2 linked regions of the Oreochromis niloticus genome follow. The protein of the gene in region 1 purifies or fractionates together with the protein of each later gene. This does not show direct contact. Links are inferred from orthologs where the notes say so. Each region holds a gene or a part of one and is shown on either strand. Other genes may lie near its edges.

Region 1 (12,731 bases):
AAATCAAGACTCATCAGACCAGTCAAACCTTTTCTAAGCTTCTAGTTTTCAAATTAGTTCTTCGTTGACAGGAATTTCACCTGGCGTGGTCTTATGCCCCTGTAGCCCTTGTACTTCAAAGTTTGATGTATTTTGCATTCAGAGATGCTTTTCTGTGTTGACTGGTTGCATTGAGTGGTTATTTAAGTTAATGTTGCCTTCCTGTCAGCTCGAAGCTTCCTGGCTATTCTCTGACCTCTGACATCAACATGACATTTTCACCCAGAGAACTGCTGCTCACTGGATCTTTTCTCTTTTCACACCATTCTCTTTAAACCGCAGTGATGGTTGTGTGGGAACATCCCAGTAAATCAGCAGTTTCTGAACAACCATTTCATATTCTAAGTTACTTAAATAACCTTTCTTTGCCACTCTTGTGGTCAGTTTAAGATTAAGCAGGTTGTTGTGTTTTGCTAATTAAAGGTCAAAATGAGTGTTTGAAGAATGAAGTGATTGTTGATTAATTGATTAGTAAAAAAAAAAAAAAGTCACTGCCTTTGTGTTTTAAAATGTGAATATATTATGCTTTTGCTAATTTTCTTTAATAATGAAAATAATCCTTTTTTATTTTGAACTCAGAATGAGTTGATTAAAAACAAGAATTTTATAGAATAGACAATTTTATAGTTCAGAAAAATTGCTGCAGCATCATATGCTGCAGCAGGATGTCATATGCTGACATCCTGCCCATCAGTTATCCCAGTTATCCCATAGCAATGGGACAAACCCATAGCAATGGGATAACTGGATAATTATTTGTCAGTGAATATGAAACCATTAAATGCATTTTGACTGAATTGGTTCTAATGTCATCGCTTTCTTTCAGGTGCGTTGGATGACTTTGAGAAGGCGTCCGTCCCTCCAGCCCCTGAACCTGCAGCCGCTTCGTCCTCAGCCAGCAGTGGTGCACAAAAGGTGCTTGCGAAATAATTTAGAATAGAATGTTTAGAATAGAAGGCCAGCAGCAGCTTCCGGTTCAGATTTTTCTGCCTCAGGACACGGAGGAAGTGCGGCCGCTGCTGGGCCTTCTTTACCGGGGTGATGGTGTTGTGGGTCCAGGTGCCCAGAAACCTGAAGGTGGAGACAGATTCCACCCGTTCTCCATTTATAATCAGTGGGGAATGGACCTGTCTGTGCCTCCTGAAGTCCATTATGAGTTCTTTTGTTTTAAGGACGTTTAGCTTCAGGTTATTTTCTAAGCACCAGAGGGACAAGTTCTCTACATCCGTCCTGTATGCTCTCTCATCTCCATCAGAGTTGAGTCCAACCATGGTGGTGTCCCGGTGGCAAATTTTTAAATAAAAGTTTGGCTAATAGTGAATACCAATACTTTTTTTTTTTTTTTTTCAGTTTTTTCAGAATCAGAATCAGAATCGTGTTTATTGGCCAAGTATATGTGCAGACAAATACAAGGAATTTGGTTCCGGTAGATGGTGGCTATCAAGCACAGCAATGTAAAACACACACACACACACACACACGTCTATATATACATTACACATGCATACACATACATACACAAAGCTGTGTAAACCAACTATAAATAACTAAACTTATATACATAAAATACAGAAATGAAATGAGGTGGAATGAATACTACAGAATGTACATAAGGTGCAGTTGCAGTCTGGCAGTGGGGAGCAGTGTGACAGGTCAACTGTTTAGGAGGGAGATGGCGAGGGGAAAGAAACTGTTCCTGTGTCGGGTGGTCCTGGTCTGCAGGCTTCTGTACCGTCTGCCAGAGGGCAGTTGTGTATTACTGTTGTGTATTCCCCATAATGTTAGGAAAACTAGGAAATGTTGATTTTAAAGAAAGAACTGAGACAATTTGAAGTCTTTTCAGTCCTTCATCACTTTTTTTTTAACATTTCACCACCAAAAAAACTGAGGTCACACAACAGATAAACATCGCAACTTTCTTATTTCCTGATATCAGTAAATATCAGTATTTGCAGATGGCAATATTTGACTGATAAAGCAGTGCTTTTCTGTCTTTTTCTGTTAATTTTCTATCCAAAACTGCAAACTAGAAAGTGTCGGTGTTATTTTAGTTTTGAGCTTTCAAATGTTGGTTCTTTTACTATTAGGAAGCAAGACTGCTGCAGGTTTACATCAAGTGTAAGCTAGAGTCGGGTCTAGAACATAAAAACAAAACAGTTTCAATTCAGATGGAGTGAAAAGAAGAACATCTCCCTCAGTTTTTCCTTATTTCTAAATAAGGTATTTTGGGGTTTTTTTCTCTGCCTGTCTCAGCCCCCTTTGCTTGAGGACTGTAAGCTCTTCGAGACTCTCTTTGAAGGGGACATGGCTGCCCAAGCTAAGGAGGAGTGGGAGAAGGCCATGACGGAGCTGGCTCAGGAGGAACCGGAGCTTCTCCAACACTTTCAGAAGCTATCAGAGGCTGCGGGAAAAGTTGGTAAGATATAGGCTTGTGTTGACTATGGTTTACTTCTAGTCTTCTGCCTATTTTGGCTTTTTGGCAAAATACTCTGTTTATTCTGACCAGGTACTGACACTGCCTCCCAACAAGAATTCACTTCCTGTCTTAAAGAAACCCTTCAGGGGCTGGCCAAAAATGCAGACAACCTGAAGGTGGGTCAAGCTGAAATTGTGCAAATATGATGAAGGTTTTGCATATGAGAGCAATTTCATAGTCTGATTGTTTTCTTGCAGTCTTCGGGACTAGCTGGAGATGACCTTGTCAAAGCACTAGAGGGCCTAGGGTTGGAGGAGGGTGAAGGTGGTGGTGGTGATGATGGAAACATCCTGCCCATCATGCAGTCCATCATGCAGAATCTTCTCTCTAAGGAGGTGCTTTATCCATCCCTGAAGGAAATCACTACTAAGGTGTGCTTTTGGTTTTATAGCAGACATTATATTCTGCAGTATCCCATTCAGTAATTGTATTAACTGTACTTAATTCCTGCAGTACCCAGAGTGGCTGGAAACCAACAAACCGAGCCTTAGTCCAGAGGACTACCAGCGCTATGAGCAGCAGGCCAAAATCATGGGAGACATCTGTAAGCTCTTTGAGAGGGAGGAAGAGGGTGCAGCAGATAAAGAGAGCACATTTGAGAGGATCATGGACCTGATGCAAAAGGTGATGCAGCACTGTCTCTTATCTCATACAAACACCAGTTTATGTGTAGAGTGAAACTGGTAACTCATCCTGTTTCTTTTACCAACAGCTGCAAGACCTTGGACAACCACCCAAAGAGCTAGCAGGTGATGCGGTAAGTAAACACACCATTGTGTGTTTGACCTCGCTGTACAACTAAGATTTCAGGGAAAGAAAATGTGCTGTAATTTGATTGTCCCTTTCATAACAGAACTGCGGTTGATGTTTTAATCTGAATTTTATGTGATTTTAAATGAGCACAAATATTTATAGTTCTTCCTCTCTTTTTTTTTTTTCTTCCTCTCCAGCCTCCTGGCTTTAACTTTGACATGGACTCACTCAATCTCCCTGGAGGCCCTGGGGCCGGGTCAGCCGAGCAGTGCTCCGTCATGTGATGAGGGTAGTGGCGGTGTCCATCTGAAGCACTTGAGCCGAAGGGTCGCTCTGTGTGTGTCAGCAGCGGGGGAGAGTGACAGAATGAGAAGCAAATGTCAGGCAGGAGTGTGACTAATCCGTCATCACCGCTCTCCTCCTAAAGAGTAAAGTGTGTGGAAACAGAAGCAACATAAGGAATCACAAACAACACAAACACACATATTCTTCTCCATAAAAATCATGGAAGGCACAACTAAGAACATTTGGACATCTTTTCATTAGCAGCTGCCACAATTCCTTCACACTTTAATTTTAGCAGAGTTTCTGTAAGAAGAAAATACCACTGGCCTTCTCAGTGTTGTTTTTACATACTGTTTAACCTTATGGTAATTTACATCAAACCACTTCACGGGTATAAACGGTGCCTTTTCAAAGTGACTTTAAGTTGTTGTTTTTAGGTTTCATTAGAACGTGAAATTTCATCTATTATTCAGCTACAATCGGAGTTAAAATGGTCTGAATTTGCAATAACATCCCAAGTTGACACCAAGTGATTGTTTTCCAGCATTTCACTTAAGCTAAAAGCTTTAACTTAGAAAGTTTATGGTTAACATGCTAGAAAACTATGAAAAATGTGTACATTTGTTAGTTATTTAAAAGATTAAAACAACTAAAGAGGAGTGAAGCCCTCATAAGAGATTTCCTTTACCTCTTAAAACTAAGCCAGCTAATTTAATAAGACCCATTTGCTATTCCTATTTCCAAAATATTGATTTGAAGTGATTGATGATTCCTGGATGCCTTTGCTGTGGTTGAAGTGATCATTATAGTGTAGAGTAACTGTGCAAAGTGCTTCCCTGTGATTCCCAGTGTTTTCAATGTGCAAAATGGTGTTTTCCTTTTGGCATGGGGTCTCCGCTGGGAAACAACAATCACCTGAGGTCATGAAAATAAACCCTATAAAAGTGCGTCATGTTTGTTCCAGAGAGGGCGACAGACAGTGTAGTAAACATCACATTGTGTTTCGTGAAAGGGAGAGAGAAAGAGGTGGCTAATACATGGAGATGCGCTATTGGGTAAGACATCAACAACCTGATGTTGGCACTTTCTGGCAGTGCCTGTCGGGTTTGTGTAGCGGATAACAGTTGACTTCTGTAACTGTAGAGAGAGATCTAGATATCACACGACCACCAGCCCATCAGTGACTGTATAATAAAGGGTTCTGTGAAAGGAATCAGTCAACCATGCACTGAGAAGAGATGCGATTTACATCAGCTGAGGGGAGTGCTGCTGCAGAGGTTTACAGAGACCTGTGGTTTCATCCCATTGTGGGGTGGGACTCAACTCTCAGGGCCGATGCAAATGTTTCCCACAGCACCGTTAAAAGTAATAAAAAATAATGATGATAATAAAACTTGTTTTTGACACTATTCTTCTGTAAATATATAAAATAAAACTAATGATATACTGTAATTGTTCCCGGTGTGATTTTTGTCATTATTTCTTTCATACTGCTTATGGAACATGAGTAGAAATATTGTGTCATAATCAACTGCATTAAGAGAAGTTTTACTATAAGTTTACTGCACTTCAGTTTGTCTATGCTGTAGTCATGACTAAAGCTATGGTCATTTTATAAAATATGCTGCATTACTGGAGAAAATCTGTAGTAAATGAAGTAAAGGATTTTTTAAAATTTAAATTCTCAAGTAATAAATAATAAATTATAAATTTATATACACTCATTTTGAACATGTCACTGTAATTTGGGGCTTTTAATGACTTCTTTTACAATGTCTTTAACATGACAAAACCTGTTAACATCTTATTAGTAATCTTCATTGACTACAGCTGGTAGTTTCTCTTTGTCAGCATGCCACTCAGATAAAGATTGAGTTATTTGGCCACAGTGATAAAGGGTTTGTTTGGGGGATTAAAGGAGAGTCTTTCAAAACACTGTACCAACTGTCAAGCGTGGTGGTAGTATCATGCTCTGGGGTTTTTTGCTGCCAATTGTATGAGTACACTGGACAAAGTGGATGGAAAAATGAAGAAAGGGAACTAGTTCTAAATTGTTCAATGTTACCTCAAATCAACAGCTAGACATTTGAAACTTGAAACACGGTTGGATTTTCCAACAGGACAGTGATCCCAAACACACATTAAAACTAAAATAGATACAACAGGCTTCTGGAATGGCCTTCTCAAAGCCCTGACCTCAACACTCTTGAAAATCTGTAGACTATGATTATAAGCACATGCCATGAAACCAGTCAGCATAAATAAATTCTACCAAGTCTGACAATAAGAGTTCCATCCAGTAAGAATTATTCTGACTGTTTTTAAAGTCATTAAAGATGTATGATGTCCTATAACCCAAACCTGGAAAACGAACAGGTCAAAGAAATCACTAAAAGCCCCAAATTACCACAACCTTCATGCCTACAAATGCGTGTGTGTAAACTTCTGACCACAACTGTATTTTGAGACGTTTAAAGAGGAAAGAATTGTGTAGAAGTCCACTTTCTTTTTGTTGCAATCCTAGATTATTGATTTTTTTTTTTTTTTAATCCAGTGGAAACGCATTACTTCACATTACAGGCGCCCCCGCGTGCCACGTATTGTGCCTGCAGCAGATGACGTCATCAAATTATAATTTGCAGTCGGATTTAGAAAAAAAGAATTTTAGAATCGTTTATGAAGAAAACAATCTTAATCTTAATTAATTTTTTTTAATTATGAATTTCTCACTTTAATCTAATAGAATTTGTGAGTTCATGACATTGACATTTTAAAGAATAACCTTTTTGTCTCTTAGATTTTTACCGCTTTTTTAAAGAAACGAACGACTCTTTATCCGAGTACGTATATTTATTTCATACGTCTAAGGAGTGCTTGGAAATATACAGATTAGATTTGTTATGACGGCATTTAGTCGCATATGTCTTGTCTATGTGTTACATTTCTACGCGCCGCTGCCGTGGAACTTTCTGCGTCAGATTTTCGTCGCAAAACTTTATTGTTCAAAACCGGAAGACAAAACGGACTACGTGTCAGGAAAAAGGAGAATCAACTAAATGGGCGAAGGTGGTCAGGCCGCTTGATTCAACATATCTGCAGAGTTTAGTCCTTTTTAATTATTTGCTCTGGCTGAGTTTTGTCTCAGCATTAAAAAGAAGACCTTTGCGGTTCACCAGTAACGATGTTAACAAAATTTGAAACGAAGTCGGCCCGTGTCAAAGGTAAGAGTCTGCTAGCTACTTATTAGTAAAGAAGCTAACGTTAGCTAGTTGACGTTATCGTCCTCGGTTGATTATTCATTCAGAGTTGTCTCTTTATTCTTGTTTTTAAATAGATTTTCCTCCGACTGTCTCTAACTAATTTGTCGTTATAGTGTCTTATTCAGATGTAGCGATAAATGGACAGTAGTTGTACGTGTCCTTAGCTGTCCGGCTAACATCACTTTGCATGTTTAAAAAACCGCTGTAAATTAGGATGATGCTGGTCGTCTGAAGTGTAATAGCCTCTTCTGTGAGAGATCTGACGAGCTGTTTTACATTTCAGGCCTGAGCTTCCATCCCAAACGGCCATGGGTTCTTGCAAGTTTGCACAACGGAGTCATCCAGCTGTGGGACTATCGGATGTGTACACTTATTGACAAATTCGATGAGCATGACGGTAAGACGGTGTTTTAGCTCGAGTACGCTGCTTTAGCTTACAGACTGTGTTATTAATGGAAGTGAGGTGTGATTTAATGTGGTCTCTCACCACAGGTCCTGTCAGAGGGATTGATTTCCACAAGCAGCAGCCCCTGTTTGTGTCTGGAGGGGATGACTACAAAATCAAGGTGGGACTGCTGTGGCATCAACACTCTCACTAAATGTCATGAAGCTGGATAAATGTTGTTTAAGTGCTTATTTTTATGTTTCTTTGGTTTGAGGCAGTATCTCATACTCAGGATTTCTAATATTTTGCCTAAACATCTAAGGTGCTGCCATGTCTTAATGCACTACTGTAAAATGAAACCTAGGTGAGAGCTGAGTAAATGTTCTTTTTGTGTACAGGTGTGGAACTACAAGCTGAGGCGCTGTCTCTTCACCCTCCTTGGGCATCTTGACTACATCAGAACCACCTTCTTTCACCATGTGAGTTGTCCTGCTGTTTTAACATAGAAAATGGACAAGTGACAAATTAAAGGAAACCTTGAACCTTTGACTCCTGCAGTGACTCTCCTATTTTGAACTACTTGTGCAAATCAATGGAGATATTCAAGATGATCACCTTTTATCCTGTGAAGTGCTCTCTTCCAGAATGGCCTCCACCAATCTGGCAATAGGATTCATTAGATTAAATTATGCAACTTGTATGCTATGGCTTTTCCAGTCACCAGATCTTAGCCTATCATTCAAGATAGGATAGGTTGTCTCCAAGTCCACGGGAGAAATCATTAGTTTTATTTGTGATGGTGGAGCACTGTGCAACGCTAAAGCTGGGATTCAGTACAGTACTACATATTATGGTAAACACTTTGTCTTTAAGGGGTTTTAATTTATATTGTCACCCCACTGGATTAGTACTTCCTTCTGTTTTTTTTTTGTAATTTATGTTAGAACAATTTAGACTTAAGTTATTTCATTAATTGTCACCTTGCCTGTAGGAGTACCCCTGGATTCTGAGCGCTTCAGATGATCAGACGATTCGCATTTGGAACTGGCAGTCCAGGACGTGTGTCTGGTAAGACACTGTGTAAAGTTTAAACTGTTGTTTCTCACAACTTGCACATAGTTAGGCTGTTTAATTGAGATTTTAAATAAACAGAGGAATGAAAATTGTTAAAATTTACCATAATGAAAATGAATGGTCTGCCCTAATTTCTTATGTTTCCTATTTCTTTCTTCTCTGCAGTGTGCTGACTGGCCATAATCACTACGTGATGTGCGCCCAGTTCCACCCATCTGAGGACCTGGTGGTGTCGGGCAGTTTGGACCAGACTGTGCGAGTGTGGGATATCTCCGGTGAGGGCCTGGGGATGGCAGACCAGAGGACAGCGGGCTGGGTTTTGGGGGAGGGGTTGGGAGCAGAGTGGTACAGATGAGGAGGAAGAAAACAGGAGCAGGACCGAAGTGAAGTCCTAAACCTCTTCTTCCTCTCTGACTTGTAGAGGATAAAACTCTGTGGGCTGTTTGCAGAAACACCTCTCTTTTGATAGATGGTGAGAGAGTTAGATGCAGTGGAACAAATTTATGGTGTGGTATTTATTTATTTTTTTAATTTAATACTACACTGTAAATAAAAGCTCTGAAAGGAGAAAGGCCTTACAGATCAGATAGATGCACAGTGAAAGGATAAAATCCACATAGATGGATAATTGGAGAGGTGTTTCTGTGCCTGTGCATGCTGTAAAAATCTTGTGGTTTTTCTTTCTCCTGTTTCTTGTCTTTAGACTAACTGCACTCATTTGCTTTCACTTCCTTTCATGTGAACATGCATAAGTTCTAACATTCACCAATCCTGGGTTTATGGAATTTAACTTAGTTTTTGGATTGAGCATGGTTGCATCCATTTGTACTTTTTTTTTTATTTTTTAACTTGTCTATCACATGACTTAACTGCAGCATGTGTTTTCATTTTTTTATGATAAATACATAGTATGTTTATGGGCAGGTTTAGCTTTAAGGGGTTACTTTGAACTCATACTCACAATATAGAAAATCCATACTGCTTTTGCATCCAAACAAAAACATTAATTGGTTTTAAAAAAAGTAAATCTTTTTTTTATACACTTAAACTTTCTGGCTGTCCCATATTTCTATATGACCTATGACATTTGCACGACTGGCTCTACTATTAAAAAAAAATAATAATAACATGAAATATACTACAGGTTTATATTTCCTGTAGTCATTGCAACTTATTGGTATCATCTTCATTCCTAACCAATAATTGTGGCATTTCAGACTATACTAACTGCACGTCATTTAAACATTGTGACTGAAATGTGCATGAGCCTTTAAGAAAGCAAACTCCAAGACTCATAATCCTGATACTCAACGCCCCATCGAGGCTCACCTTTACAATGCTAGCTACCACCCACTCCACCTCCATCAGCCAAGTCCACACACTCCCTGTGTCCTCCTTATCCCATGCTCTCCCTGGAAACATCCACACCTGCACATGGGTTCCTAGTGTCATTTCTGTTTCCTGCGTGTCATCTCTCTCTGTGCTGTTGTACTGTCTGCTCACCACATTGTTTTAACAGGCAGGAATCATGAATACAAGCTGTGTTTTCTCCATCTTTTTTCATTTCCTGATCTCACTGAGTCTCTGAAATAATCAGCTACCTTGCTCTGCTATCCATCCAAATCACAAGTGATTCCGATTTCTTCTGTAAGATGATGATTAATTAAACCAATCAAAGCATGGCTGCAGGAATGATTGTTTCCAGACTCAAGCTGGCAGTCAATGAGAAAGCAGAGGTTGTGTTGGTGTGTTTCAAACCTGTGTGTGTGTTCAGTAGTACAACAGTGCGCTGTGTTTTTAAACCCCCCTTTTTGTGGCCTCGCTTCTCCAATGATGATTCTCCAAATTTGATATCTAAATAATATGTATCTTGTTTTTCCCCATGTTCCGATCCTCTACTGTGGTTGTGCCCTGTGTAACTTGATTATGGCTCCCCCCTTTGCATGCGGTGCTCTCTGATGGTTCCAGGTTTGAGGAAGAAGAACCTGTCTCCAGGTGCTGTGGAGACGGACGTGCGCGGCATCTCTGGTGTTGACTTGTTTGGTGCCTCTGATGCTGTTGTTAAACACGTCCTCGAGGTGAGAAGCAACTTTGTACCTTTTGTAAATGTTGTGGTCGTTTGAGTGAATCAGCCTTTAAAGGTTACTGGGGGGAACCTTCATTTGTTCCTGGTATCTCATTACAGGGAAATGTCCATTCGTAGTCTTCGGCTCACATATTGTTTGGATGTCCTTTTTGTTTTTGTTTTTTTTCCTTTTACAAAATATGAAATGCATCCTTTAGAGTGAAAATATAGAGACAAGTTCATTGTTAATGAGGTTCTCCAAATCATCAAAGTCCATGATGCAGTTCTGTCTGGAAAACACCACCTTTTAGCCCGAGCTAGCAGTTGAATCTGTGTTTTAAGGGGTATGTGATTACGACTTAAGGTCAGAAATATTCAGTCATAAAAAAAAAAACTACATTGCTTGGGTTTTGTTTTAATGTAGTATTTTATGGTTTCTGTGTGATATATTATTTATTTAATGGTACTGAAACAGCTTCTCAGAGAGTAACACAGTTTAGTTTCATATAGAACGATGCTGTGCTATGACAGCTGTTTGTGTGACTTGAGGTTATGTTTATGTTCAGGGTCACGATCGTGGGGTCAACTGGGCAGCCTTCCACCCCAGCATGCCTCTCATTGTGTCTGGAGCTGATGACAGGCAGGTGAAGATCTGGAGGATGAATGGTGAGTGACTTTACATGAGCGTTAGAAGTTGATGTTCACGGAAACGAAAACCCCTGACTTTTCTGTTATGTGCCAAGAAGTAGGTATTTCATCAAGCTAACTACTTCACTAATTGTTTCCTGCTGTAACTGTTTCTGCTTGTTTTTTGTCTTTAATCATGTCTCATTTTTTTGTTTTTCCCCCCGTCTGTGTTCAGAGTCCAAGGCATGGGAGCTCGATACATGCCGTGGGCACTACAACAACGTGTCCTGTGCCATCTTCCACCCACGCCAGGAGCTCATTCTGTCCAACTCTGAGGACAAGAGCATCCGGGTGTGGGACATGTCCAAAAGGACTGGAGTACAGACCTTCCGCCGTGATCACGATCGCTTCTGGGTGCTGGGTGCCCACCCAAACCTCAACCTGTTTGCTGCAGGTAAGTGCTGACAGTGATCTGATCAAAACAGGAACATTAACAGATTTTCAAGTTCAAATATCAATTTGCAACGTAGTTGTTTGGTTAGTTTTGAAGCTGATCCTTTGCATATCAGGGAAAATTTGAAAAAAAATGATTTTAATGGTTCTCTTAAGTTCACATGGCCTAGTAGCAGGAAATGTCTGCCATGTATTTCCTGAGGAGGGGAAAAATACAGTGTGTACGTGTGAAATTTGCACTGACGGATGGTTTATTTTGTGTCTTTAAGGTCATGACAGTGGTATGATTGTGTTCAAGCTGGAGCGTGAACGTCCAGCCTACGCCGTACATGGCAACATGCTTTACTACGTCAAGGATCGCTTCCTCCGCCAGCTGGACTTCAACAGCAGCAAAGACACGGCTGTTATGCAGCTGCGCAGGTGTGGTGTGCACAAGATAGCATTTTGAGTATACGAATACTGTACATTCACCTCTTTATTTCTGCAATCAAAAAGAAATTGGTCTAAGTAATTGTGGCTAGTGCTTGTTTTTGTCTTTCGTGGGGTTTTTGGAGGGTTTTTTTTTTTTTTTGTTTGTTTAAACAAACAAAAAAAATTTTATTTTAAAACCAAAATAACCATTTTACCTGTTTTACCTTCTCCTTAACTTAGTGGGTCTAAGTTCCCAGTGTTCAGCATGTCTTATAATCCCGCTGAGAACGCTGTCCTGCTCTGCACTGTAAGTGTCTCTTAGTTAAAATGCACTCGCACACATTAATTACTTACTGCTCAGTTAAGTGTGTTGGTTCGCTTCTGTTTATTGAAATGCTCTTTACCTCCTGCAGAGAGCAACCAACCTGGAGAACAGCACCTATGACCTGTACTCAATTCCCAAAGAAAGTGACTCTCAGAACCCCGATGGTAAAAAAACAACAACAAAAAACCCACTTTAGTTATGTTTTTTCTCACACTCTGTAAATATTTGTTTTGTTTTGTTTCTTTACTTATTGAATGTAACTATATGCCTCCAGTTTGTATCTCCTTGAATGAAGTAACAAGAGGCTGTCTTTTCTTTTTTAAATTCCAGCACCGGAGGGGAAAAGGTCTTCTGGTCTGACAGCAGTCTGGGTGGCCAGGAACAGATTTGCTGTGTTGGACCGTATGCATTCTGTAAGTGCATATGAAAGTTTACAAAGTAGTGAAATATATATACGAAATTCCTTTTTAAAAGATTTTTTGAAAAGTTGGTTAATTCTATAAAAAGAACTGAAACTGTTGATCAGTAAATCATTTGTTCTTAACAAATGATCGATTAAAGGCAGTCTGGCATGTTAA
Region 2 (12,420 bases), on another chromosome or scaffold:
CTAAGCTTACCAAATTAGATTTTCTTTCCTTCGGCTGCTTGGTTGTACTGTATTCCAGTTTATTCTGACAAAGCTAAGAATAACACATTTAATCAAGCAGTATTTCTGGTACCGACTGTCCAGTCAACTAATACTTTATTTAACTGGAATCCTTTTTGAAAGGCCACCATCTGCTGACCAAGTTGGCTTTCCTTTTAGACCAAGAAGCTACGTCCATTTCTCTTATATAGTTTATTACCGTCACCAGCAGAAGTGTCTCAACCAGTGGCCGAAGCTATATTAATCCACTCATTTCCTTAACCAATTATTCAACTAGGACCACAGGTACATTAGAGCCCAGGAACAGGTCAAGTTATGCCCAATAATTAATGTCTAATTATCTTTTGACTGACTACTAACCCAGCTTCTCTTGTGCAGTACTGACAAAGATATTTAGTGACTCAAAATTACATCATCAGAGATATTTGGACATTCAAAACACCTCCAATCTCGCCCAGTTTTGACCTAATTTATGACAGCTGTGAACACGCCAATGAGCTAGTGACTAACTGACTGAACAACTGTCAGTTACAAATGCTAATAATTAGTGGTGTTAAGCCAAGAAAGCAGAAGAAAAAGCAGCACCAGTATTACAATAGTACACGGAGGGAATTCAGGTTTGTGTCTTTTTACCTTCACTTCCACGGCAAAAAATATCTCAAACACGTTTGTGCGTCACTTACAGCAGTAAACAGAACATCTATACTTACTTCCCACTTCATATGGGAGCTGTCTCCCCTCTTGCCGGTGCGGAGGAGGTACAGTCGACCGCTACCATCTGACAGAGCTGCCCAGGTCGCCGAGGTCAGGCTGAGGGAGGCGCAAAGACGATCCTCGCACTGGCTGGACTCGACGGTTACACGGTAGACCTCTCTCGGCTTCCCCAGGGCGGTGTCCTGAATTCAGAACACAACACACCCGTAAGCCAGTACTGCATTCATAAAAAAAAGATTAGGCCATTTAGATTCATTCATATCTGCAGAGGAAATCTCAGTGTGCTGGTGTATGAGAATGAAACAAAGAAACAACTGAAAAATGCCTATTTTAATATGTCAAAGTGCATGTTCTGTCCAGTTAAAACAAAAAAAATACATTTATAATATGTTAACACCAATTACTGTACTGCTTTGACTGTTAAGGGGAGGAAGGATGGATGAATGGAATAATGACTGGATATCAAGTAAGCTCATTTCAGTGCTATAGATGGAGAACAACATGGCAAAACTGATTTTGTCACCACTTCAGTTTAGCATAAGAAACTATTGTAGGATATTGGGAAATATGTGATGCATGCATTCTTACAGCTAACATCCAATCAAACAATAAGTAGTACAGTCATGAATCACAAAGACTCAAACACAAGACGTTTAATAGGCGGCTCAACTCCAGGTTGCTGCTTCCATCCCATAAGAGTTTTACAGTAAGTATCTGGGTGGAAGATATAAAGTCCAAATGATTTTGCATTAATTTCTTATTGTCTAAAGTCTTATAATCTAAAGAATGGTACAATGAGTAAGAGAAAACATGTACCCATCAGGGACAGTTAGCAGCTGTCATGTGGCCACTCGTGTGATTCAACAATCTGAAAGCCTTATTAGTAATAGATAGATATGCCACCACATGAGCATCACAAATTGAGTGAAGACACCGTTTTTCAAAAGGACTGTGGAGAAGCAACCCCGTTGTTGCCATGGAGCGTGGCACGGCACATTATATCGCTATCTAATGTACGATGCACCTTTGGTATCACTTTCTCCAGCATCCGTGTCGTTAATGCCCTGAAACGGAGTGTGAAACCTCTATGTGCAATGTGCCGAGCAACCGAGCACAAAAGGCTGAAGGATGATAATTATCATGTGATCACTGTAATTAGAATTTGAGCAACACTTTTCCATAAATTTCATTTAATGGTGCCACTGAAAGCCAGAAACACTGTCTCGCAGGATTACAGTGTGATGATCATCAAAGAAAAAAAACTCCAATGAGACACCAATTATGTCTAATTATGGTCAATGATGACTAAGACATAAAAGAAGGCTCGATTGAAAAGGTCATGAGAACGATTTTGCTCCTCATCTCAACATCTTGGTACGGGGTAACAATACCAATCAGAACCTTGAGTCAATTATATAATCGCTCCTGTGATTAACTGGAGACCTACAAGGGCTCATCCAAACTTTATGTGCTCGGGTGATTCATACGACAGACAAAAGACTGCACAGAAAGTTGTGTTTCAGACTAAATACTAAGAGCCACGTTTATTCTGACGTTTATTATTTTGCATCTTGACCAAGGAAAAAAAAGGTTAGAAATAATATTATATAATTTAACATAACTTTTAAAACTCTTGTGTTTCACAGACATCCTTTCTCTTCCCTCAACCTGCTGATGCTCAAGTGTTTGGTCACCACCTACTGGCACATCAGGCGCATAAAAATCCTTCATTGAATACACCATCACAACATCAGGCCCATAATATGAAACGTTATATAATGGTAACATAAAACAACACTGTAAAACAAAGAGCTCCTAAATTTGCCTAAAAACATTTGCAAAGACTCCAAACTTGTGATTTAGGAAACTCTCAGATTACGTAAATTCCCATGGTGAGAGTTAGATTTCAGGTTAAATCCATTTGCCATGATGGTAAATTTAATAATTGATCTAAATTATTATAATAAGTAAAATTGTTCAGATTCTATGATTTACTGCTATAATACGAGGGAGATCATCATGTCTGTGAACGCTCTAAGATGTGAAAAATAAAATAAACTGCTTCACAGCATGAGGCTGTGAAAGCTATCTGCGTGATTGCTCTGCTGATGAAGGTTGGGCAGACCCAACTTGCATTTTTCCAGCTCCAAAACACTTTAGTGATGATGATTTTGTCAATGCTGAGTTTATTATTAGATGTAACAGAATACTGACTACAGTCTTTACCCATGAAACATGTAACCTGCAGCTTTAATCACCTCACTGTTATTCTGAATTTGGAGCACAGACTAATGGCACTAATGTATGCACAAGACTGACCTGTGGCTTGTTTCTACAGCTGCCAAACCACTGTTATTATGCTGGCAAGTTAACTACCATTAGTCAGCTGTAATTAACCACACAGTGTAATGTTAGACTCTGTTTGTCTTAAGTGTTACATCAAATTGTATTCCTCTAACGCTTAAAAAGATAAATTAACCTTATTATGCAAAGCGCAAAGATTTTATTTAATCAACAGGGTGAAAAAAAAGTGGCAAAGCTTCTTCTTTCTGCCAGTTTCTCCTCTGCTTAAGGAACTCCTAAGTAAGTCCTTCTTTTCACTCCACACAGTTTTTTTTATCTTAGAAGCAAATGCTTTGTGAATAACTTTCACCTTTTCAAGATTTAGTTGTAACTTTAGCGAGAAATTCTTAGAAATTAAGAAAAATGTTGGCACTAGGAGCTAGTTTTATGAATATCAAAGATTTTTTATTAAGATCGGTGATTGCTCTCTTATGGTGTTTTCACCCTTGATGTTCTCTTCCAGATCACTTGATGACCTTACATACTTGTGTTTTTGTTTGTTTGGTGTCTTTTTGCATAGGAAAAACTGCAAGCACAATTACCATGTTCGTGTGTGGAACAATGTGCATCATCACATAGAAAATAGTGCAGGTGTGAAAACACCTTAGACATCAATGGAGGGGCAACAATCATAAACAGGCCGAGGAATATAGACTTCCAAAAATAACCCCAAAAAACAAGAGGATTTGCAAACTCACCAGAGTGACGGTGAGATTGAGGACCCGTCCTTTGCAGTCCACAAAGTAAACACTGTCCTCATACCAGGGGTCTAAATGCAGGTAATTATACATCCCAAAGGCACGCATATGTTCCAGGGTGTACTGAGTGTCCTTCAGCTTGACCTCCTCCACGGCTGCGGCAGATATGAAAAAGAAAAGATTAAATACGGCAGTAATCAAATTTCTGTTATTTATGTTGTTACTTAAAAAGCAGTTTACCCTTCTGCCTTTCCTACAGTTGCTTTGTGGAAAGTGTTACATATATCTTAACATATCTTAATATTTCAACATTTTACTCTAAGATGAACTATCGGTGACAAAAAACTGCAATTAACTATTTTTTACAGCTACTATTTGTCTGAATTGTTCCCACTAAATAAAGTATCGTGTTTTTTTTTTAAAGCACATTAATCACCTTGTAATATGCATGCCTGAATCTACTGTGAGTGGATGTCTGTGCAAAGTGTAAGCACCTTTTTATATCAGTAAGATTGTATCCAAACCAATGTTATAATGAATTCTCCTGTTAGGTACAAACTTCATAGATTGTTGATTTTCGACCCACACTAGCTGTTTTATAAACTGGATAAGAGACGTAGTAGAAAACACTTAGATGCAACTCTGGTGAGCTCAGCTGGCCTGAGTTTCGATTAAAAGGAATTAGCAAGCTTTGGTATATGATTATGCAAAATTTTAAAAATGCTGCTCTATTTCCATCCCTTATCGTTTTAATCACTAAAGTACATATCTGGATCAGCAGCCCCACTAATTTGGTATTGCTCAAACTGAAGTTAAGAGCTTGAAGTTAAAACATGTATTACAAAACTAACCTTATAACATCCCTATGATTGTTTTTAAGTTATTTAAGATTGGTGCACTTGACTTGTCCTGGCAATATAAATGAGTTATGTATGTGTATGAAGAACAAATTGTAGTAATTAGTCACTTCAGCGTTAATCTGTTAATTTTCAGTGGTTTAAACTATGCTAATGTTCAGATTTTTCTTAGTGATCGTGTGAAAGCTCATTAGGTTACAGTGGTGGACCTTAAGATCTCATTGTGAGCCACTGAGCTACAGATACAGCTGCCAAAATATTATGTAGCATCAACAGCTGACGTCGTGACGTAGTGACAGCCAATAAAATGTCTGAGATAATTTCAAATAACTTACATTGCTATTCCTATTTAGTGTTATACTGGACAGAAGTTATACTGGACCTTTCTCAGGGCTAGGCTAGCACACTTGCTAACTGCACTGCATTAAGTTTTTCTCACCAGCATCCAGCTCTATGTTGTACGTCGGTATGGCGTCCAAGGATAACCTGTAACTCTCAAAGTTTGGGTCCAACAGGTCTCTGTTGACCTTCAATGAGTAGTTAGACGCAGTCATGTCTTTTTCAATGAGACTGGCTTATTCACAAGTTGATGACAGCCTGTGTGCAGCAAGAGGAGGAGGGTGATGTGTAGCCAGCGTGATACACGTTTCCTGTGTTTTCGTCATTGTTTTCTCACACGGAGCTATTTTACGGCGGACAAAACCTCCCAGGGCGCAGGGGAAGTTGAGTCCTGAGCTAATCTCTCTTGAAATGCTTAAGTAACTGATTTAATTTAGTGTTTTCAGTTTAAATGTATTGTATTATATTTTTCGTCATTAAACAGGTATTTTGAACACTAATGAGACTATCATTGGTTATTCAGGTTGACGTTGAAAGATTAACCACTCCAAAGCCGGAACTTTTAAGCGTTAAACGTTTTTAGACGGTTCCGTTGTGTAAAGGGACCTTATGTTCCCCAGCTGATCCTTCTCGATAACGGTAGCGGCTACCTGATAGGGAGCTAAATTAGACATTATAATATATGTTTTTATTATACTCTTGCGTCCAAGCTGACTGTGTCGGTGTGTGTGTTTAATTTCAGGCGGATCATGAGCAAAGATTCCCAGATGAGGGCTGCAATAAACCAGAAGCTGATAGAGATGGGGGAACGGGAGCGGTAAGCGAGTCTTTCACTGCAGTGATTTGGTGCTGGATGGTTTGGCGTGGTTTTGAATTGCACATATTAAGTCACATAATGTGAATTAAATGTGTGGCCGCAGGTTGAAAGAGTTGCTCAGAGCGAAGCTGGTGGAGTGTGGGTGGAAGGATCAGCTGAAAGCACACTGCAAAGGTATTTGACTTGTGCTTATGTTAGTGTCCGGCGATGATGTCGTGGTGCTATAAAAACAAAAGTCACTAAAGTCATTACCTCCCGTTTGAGCCAGATGTGATCAGAGAAAAGGGCCTGGAGCATGTCACAGTGGAGGACCTGGTCACAGAGGTCACACCAAAAGGCAGAGGTACAGTACAGATGTTCAAACACAACAGCAGGGGGAGGAAGACTGTTAGAAGTGATGAGCATACTCATTTGCTTCGTTGATTTAGATGTACAAGTCAATTTATTTATTTAGCACTGCACATCATCTTTATCCCTAATACATCTTTGTGCATGCTAACTAACAAACTGCTAATGTTGTAGGTCAGCACTACTTATTGATTACAGCTCTTACGATTTCAGGTTTCCCTGATATACAGTCTTGAACCACCCCTCACTTCTTTATATTTTTCTTCCAAGGAGCCAGATGCTGTATTTTCTCTAAACTGTTTTAAACTGGTCTTCAGTAGTAGTTCTTCAGACCTTCTGAAGGTCTTTCAGAGTTTTTCTTTGGACATTTACTGCCCATTTGAAGAACACTTTCAGATGCCTCAGTCATTTTAAATGAGCTTTAGCCTAGAGAAGATGGCAGTGTTTCTGGATCATTTTCCATTATTCGTGCATATTGGATATTGGATATTAACCATTATTCGTGCATGGCATGGTGATTTCTGGAAATGTTTCTGAGCTTCGTAGGAAGTTGTAGAGGGAGCTGGTGCCTCTTAAAAGTCATATTTTATCTACCAGGCCAACATTATAACATACATAGAAAAAATATTAGAAACAGCTGACAGGATGACAACTTCTGACAATAAAAGTATCGTGTTGTGTGAGTATGTAAGTTTCTATTCTGTGTTCTGACTTAATCTCTCTTCATCTCTTCATCTCTTTCCTCTGCAGCACTCGTACCAGACAGTGTGAAGAAAGAACTCCTCCAGAGAATCAGAGCTTTTTTAGCTCAACATGCAACCTTGTGAATGACACAATTCCCTTTTTTGTTTGTTTGTTTGTTTTTACTCACTGTTGATCCACGAGTGAAATCCAAACTGTTGTTTATTGTGTTCATTTTAGTGCTAATTTTATTTTGTATTGTGTGTTTTCATATTGATTTTTAGTTTATGCTGCAGTTTTGGAGAAGAAAAATAAAGTCATGCCTATTTTGGTCATTCTTGTTGTAATTGCTACCTGTCTGGTTGATCCAAACCCAAAAGTGCAGACAGATTAAGTCTTAGTGAAAAAGGCAGTGGACACCCTCGACAGGTCCCCAGTCTGTCGCCCATGTCGAAAAACCAAAAACTTATAATTGCATCTCAAACTTTGAATTATTTACAGTTGTTGAGAAAATACACCCAGAAGTAATAATGTTGATTGGCAGTAGGTTTTACGGATCAGGAGTTAATAAAAAATGATCTGGTCTTAAACATGTCTTGAAATTAGATAAATATTATCTCAGATAAATAACAAAACAAAACTTGCTGCACAAAATACAAAAAGAGTGTGTGAAAAAAAGTACATCATTACTGCCTCCATAGGAATTAAGAGGCTAAGTAGCTGCTAATCAAATGCACTTGAATAGCTGATCATCAGCAAGTGTGAGCACCTCTATAAAAGTAGAAGTTTTGGCAGTTCCCTGCTCTGGAGCTTTCCGGTGTGTTAATGCAGTGCCAAGGTGGAAGGACATCAGCAATGATCTCGAAGAGCACTTGTTTCTGCCCATCAGTCTTGGAAGTTTGTAAAGGATATTTCTAAATAATTTGAAGCTCATCATTCTACAGTGAGAAAGATTAGTCAGTCACAAGTGGAAAACACGTAATGGAGACATCCCAGCAAATTTTGATATAAAACTTTGATATATGAGCTACATCTCAGACTCTACAGGCCTCATTTAGCTTGTTAAATGTTAAATTCTCAATTCTGCTGTTCATACTGCCGTAGTGCAGGCAAAATGAAAGGGTGTTTGTTCAGGGTCTTAAAAATATTAGAACACACACAAACATCATGCAACCACCCTGCCCTGCACAATCAGACACACATGCATCCCAGACGCATCACTGTAAAATAGTCTCTTTAAAAGAAAAAAAAGATAACTATATAAATAAAGAACTGAGTAAGAAAGATAACTAATTAAAACTAATTCTAAAGACTCCTGGGTATGATAGTGTACATAACCAAATCAACAGTTCAGCATTCTAACAGCTTGTGGGAGGAAGCTGTTGGAGGCTTTTATAACCGTTTGCCTGATGGCAACAGTTCAAAGAATTGAGGGGGGGTGAGGGGTCCTTTATGATTTTCAGTGCCCTGCTCCTGCTGTGGCTCTTGAAAAGGTCTTAGACAGAGGGGAGGGAAACTCCAAGGGCCTTCTGAGCTGCTCTAACTATCCTCTGCAGTGCTGTTTTGTCTGACATACTGCAGCTGGAACACCACGCTGATATACCGTAGAACATGCCTCTGTAAAAAGTCCTGAGGATGCTGGAGGGGACAGAGGCTTGTTTCATTCAGTCCCTGCTGGGCCCATTTTGTGATCACTGAGATGCTCTTGTCCCAGCTCAGGTCCTTCGAGATCTGAACATCCAAGAACCTGATGTCTTCCACTCTCTGGGCAGTCGCTGATACTGAGAGGAGTGTGCTGGATCTGTATCTTCCGGCCTGAGAACAAATCCTTGAGGAGATCCAGCGCTCAGCGTGGTGGGTTTGGAGATCTTTCTCCCAAGACATGTGTGGTGTTCAGCCCCAGTAAGTGGAGTTTCTCTAGTAGTCTCTGTGGAATGATGGTGTTAAACACTGAGCTAAAATCAATAGGAGTATGGCATATGTCCAGATGGGTGATGGCTGAGTGCAAGGTGGTGGTTAATGCATCCTCTGTGGAGTGGTTAGGATGATAAGCAAACTGGAGCAGGTCAATTAATGCAGGAAGGGTGGCTGTGATGTGTGGTTTGATAAGCTGTTCAAAACACTTCATCACAATTGTTGTCAATGTGACGGACCCGTAGCCATTTAGACAAGATAAAACTGGTTTCTTTGCTATTGGCACTATGGTGGATGTTTTGAAGCATCTGGGTACGGTGGCCTGACTGAGGGAGATGTTAAAAATATCATTTAGGACATCTGCCAGCTCACCAGTGCAGTCTCTGAGCACATGTCCTGGGATGTTATCTGGACCTGCAGCTTTCCGTGGGTTGACCCTGGCCAGGGTCCTCTGGTATCTGCTGCACTTATGATAACAGCTGGCCCTGCAGATAATGGAGAACCCACTTTCCCTCTGTATGTTCAGTTTGATGCCTGGAAGCATGCAAAGAAGTTATTAAACCTGTCCGGAAAAGAAGTGTCATCTTTGTTGACCCCTTGCATGGGTTTGGAATTCATCAGTGCCTGTACTCCCTGCCACGTTCGTCTGGTGTTTCCTGTCTCGCAGAGGTGTCCCTCGCAGACCTGGCCACACGGAGAGCAGTCTCATCCTCCACCAGGGTCTCTGGTTGCCACGTGCAGTGAAGGTCTTAACTACAGTGACATCCTCTTAGCAATGTAGCTGTTTACTGCCTCTGCGTACTCCACATTGTTTATCTGGTCTCCCTGCGAGGCTGCTGTCTTGAACACCCCCCACCCGGTGTTCCTAAAGCAGTTTTTAGTGCTGAGGCTGTGCTGAGGCTGCATCCTCTGGCCAGATCCTGGTCTGTTTTCTCACTGGTCTGCTGCGCTTCAGGAATGGTTTGTAAGCAGGCTCAGGCGTAACAGAAAGGTGATCAGAGTGGGTGAGGTGGGGGTGGGGGTTTGATTATAAGTCCAGCATGTTCATACCTCTGCTTGAACTTAGGGAGCAGTCTTTAAACTGCTGTTGTTAAAATCCCCTGCAATCACAACAAAGCTGTACAGGTGTACATGGAGAATACCTGTGTTGAAGAACAACGTCACGTCATTGCTCAAAGACAATTTGGTAACAATCTGGAAGAGGTTTGTTACTTTACATTTCTTTTAAATACCTTGAAGGTGTTTTGTTGGATTTAAGTCAGGTGAAATAGTTGAAACAACTTGTTTTTTTGTTCTTGAAACACTCGTGTGATTTTTGACAATGTGCTTTGGATGATTATCATGCTGAAATATTTCTCTGATGTCAGGCATCTGAAGGTAAACAGCGGTTTGGCATTCGTGATTCCATCTGTAAAGTCATGAGGACACCCTTCGAATCATTTCATATTTATGAATATTACACCCACTTTGGTGAATTTAATTAGGCAATCTTTCTATGCATTGTTTGGATTTTTTTAAATAGACATAGTCTAAAGGAAAAAGGGTCACCAAGAGACTGGTCTGTAATCTGTCAGTGAACTATGTTTGACATTATTTATTATTATTATTATTATTTACTGTTTGCCAGTTTTAGATCTGTTTTCTTTTTATGGTTCCAGGCACAAATTAGTTGAAGAGGAAATCTGCAATTAATATAAGGTTGCAAGCATCACAAGGAGTTTTATTTATCATTGTTATGATCACAGACAGTTTTACAAACACTCAAAGACTGAAAGGGCTAATGTGAAGCACTACTGTACGATGTGTTTTATAAATGAAACGTGGACAGAATAACATGAAGACCACTTCAAGAGCACATTGTGCACAGCGAAAATGATTGCACTTTAATGCAAATTTAATCCAGCAGTCATGAAACGGTGGTGTGAAAAAGTCAAAGGCTACACAAAGGCCATATTTACTGAAACTCAACAAATGCAAAACGTGTATAACTTTGCAAACTTTAGCTTTTTATAGCTCCACTTCTTTCTCCACATTTTCATAGATCATTACGCTCCGTGTTCATGGAGCCATTATTTATCACGCTTTTGACTCACTTTCGTTTTGTTTTTAAATGCAGACATCTTGAAAATCTGATAAATGCGGCAAAATGTTCTTCCAGTCTCCTCCCAGTTTCAGGTGAGGGGCGGGACCCTGAGCACGTTATAAAAAGGTAGTGCGCGTCCCTGAACTCACACTGTTTCCCAGTCAAGAGGTTAAAAAGGGTTTCTCACTGCTGGTGAGTTTTGTTCACATAAATGTCACACTGGAAAATGGAAAATACAATTTTTAAAAATAATATTTTTTAAAATAATTGTATATTTTAGTACATAAATTTATTCTATGGCTGTCAATAAATGTCAATAATACTTTTGTTTTAAATAGTACTTTTGTGTCACGTGATTCACAATTGGTCGAGAGAGGGGCGCAGGTGAGGCAGGAAAGTAACCTGGGAGCTCTTCAGGATGGAGGTCAAGTGGAAGGCCGCAGCTCTCCTCCTCGCCCTTTGGTGTTGCTGCGGTAAGTAAAGTAAAACAAACAACAACTTCTATTCTAAACTCAGTTTTTTAGCTCGCTGTTCATAGAGAGGAAAAAAGATTTCTCATGTTGTTTTAATTCAATTTTACAGATGCTCAGCGCGTTACCTCCGTGTCGCCACGCAGAGGAAGCGTCAATGGAGCCACACGACTCACTATTCAAGGAGATGGTAAGAGATCCGTAATGATGTTTACAAGTAAATTTAAAAAGAAGTGTGGGCATTCTTTTACTTTGTAAAACAAGTTATGATGGATTGTGAGATATAAGTCCATTTTAAGCTATTCTGTAGCTAAAAGATGCAGCTGAAGAAGCTTTGTTAATGCAGTTGTGACTGTCCTGAGAGTCCTTGTGCCTGCTGGCCTGGTGGGATGATGCTACGAGATGTGACTCTCAAAAACAATTACCTTCTACGATTATGTTGCCCCTGTTTTTTCTTCCAGGTTTTGCACAGGAGCGGCAGTTCCAGCTGAATCCAGTAGACGACATGTTTGGAAACCGTGTGACCCTGGTGTCAAACACCCTGTCAGTCCCCTGTGATGTGGAGAGAGACTCCACACACAGCAACCAGATCATGTGCTACACCAGGTACAGTTCCAGGCATACTTTAGCAGCATGTCTGTATTTACTTATTTCACAATACCTAGTGATACCTACCCTAACAATCAGACAAAATGCTATTAGCAAGTACTCGGCAACAGCACGACTGAAAAACTCCCTTTTAAAAGGAAAAAACCTCCAGCAAAGCCAGGCTCAGGGGAGGGGCAGCCATCTGCTTCAACTGGTTGGGGATGAGGGAAGGGAATTAAAACACACACGCATATTGGCCCATTTTTACCAAAAATTTGTACTGTATGCATCATTTATGTATGCATAATTGTATAGAATCTATATTTGCATATTATTGCATAAAGCTAGAAAGTGGAATTTTATTCCAGTTTTTCATTTTTTATATTACATTTAAAAATAACACAACTTGTACAAACACCCTGCAGAAGTACTCTGTAATATGAGTCTTGACACTGAGTATTTGTTTAGTTAGAGTCTGGCTGTTGATGTTCAATATACTGAATATTATAATGATGGCTCTATTTTAAAG

Evidence for each region.
Region 2: the proteins of copa (region 1) and nudcd1 purify together in Homo sapiens (co-immunoprecipitation; 3 studies listed by BioGRID and IntAct, with this or other methods). This does not show direct contact. The link is inferred for Oreochromis niloticus from reciprocal best matches to the Homo sapiens genes COPA and NUDCD1.

Annotation. Positions count from the first base shown.
Region 1 is NC_031982.2:26,258,736-26,271,466, forward strand, and holds the start of copa (coatomer subunit alpha), read left to right. Parts: upstream 1-6,556; 5' UTR 6,557-6,734; coding exon 6,735-6,774; intron 6,775-7,096; coding exon 7,097-7,210; intron 7,211-7,305; coding exon 7,306-7,379; intron 7,380-7,596; coding exon 7,597-7,677; intron 7,678-8,189; coding exon 8,190-8,266; intron 8,267-8,437; coding exon 8,438-8,547; intron 8,548-10,240; coding exon 10,241-10,350; intron 10,351-10,903; coding exon 10,904-11,003; intron 11,004-11,199; coding exon 11,200-11,418; intron 11,419-11,686; coding exon 11,687-11,837; intron 11,838-12,068; coding exon 12,069-12,135; intron 12,136-12,241; coding exon 12,242-12,317; intron 12,318-12,483; coding exon 12,484-12,566; intron 12,567-12,731. Other genes in the region: pex19 (peroxisomal biogenesis factor 19), read left to right, coding at 866-954, 2,293-2,455, 2,546-2,631, 2,713-2,886, 2,969-3,139, 3,228-3,272, 3,466-3,552. UniProt on the Homo sapiens protein: The coatomer is a cytosolic protein complex that binds to dilysine motifs and reversibly associates with Golgi non-clathrin-coated vesicles, which further mediate biosynthetic protein transport from the ER, via the Golgi up to the trans Golgi network.
Region 2 is NC_031985.2:12,074,116-12,086,535, reverse strand, and holds the start of nudcd1 (nudC domain-containing protein 1), read right to left. Parts: upstream 5,340-12,420; 5' UTR 5,206-5,339; coding exon 5,091-5,205; intron 3,950-5,090; coding exon 3,795-3,949; intron 936-3,794; coding exon 750-935; intron 1-749. Other genes in the region: transcription and mRNA export factor ENY2-2, read left to right, coding at 5,740-5,807, 5,911-5,981, 6,076-6,150, 6,906-6,982; pkhd1l1.1 (PKHD1 like 1, tandem duplicate 1), read left to right, coding at 11,252-11,306, 11,416-11,493, 11,765-11,909.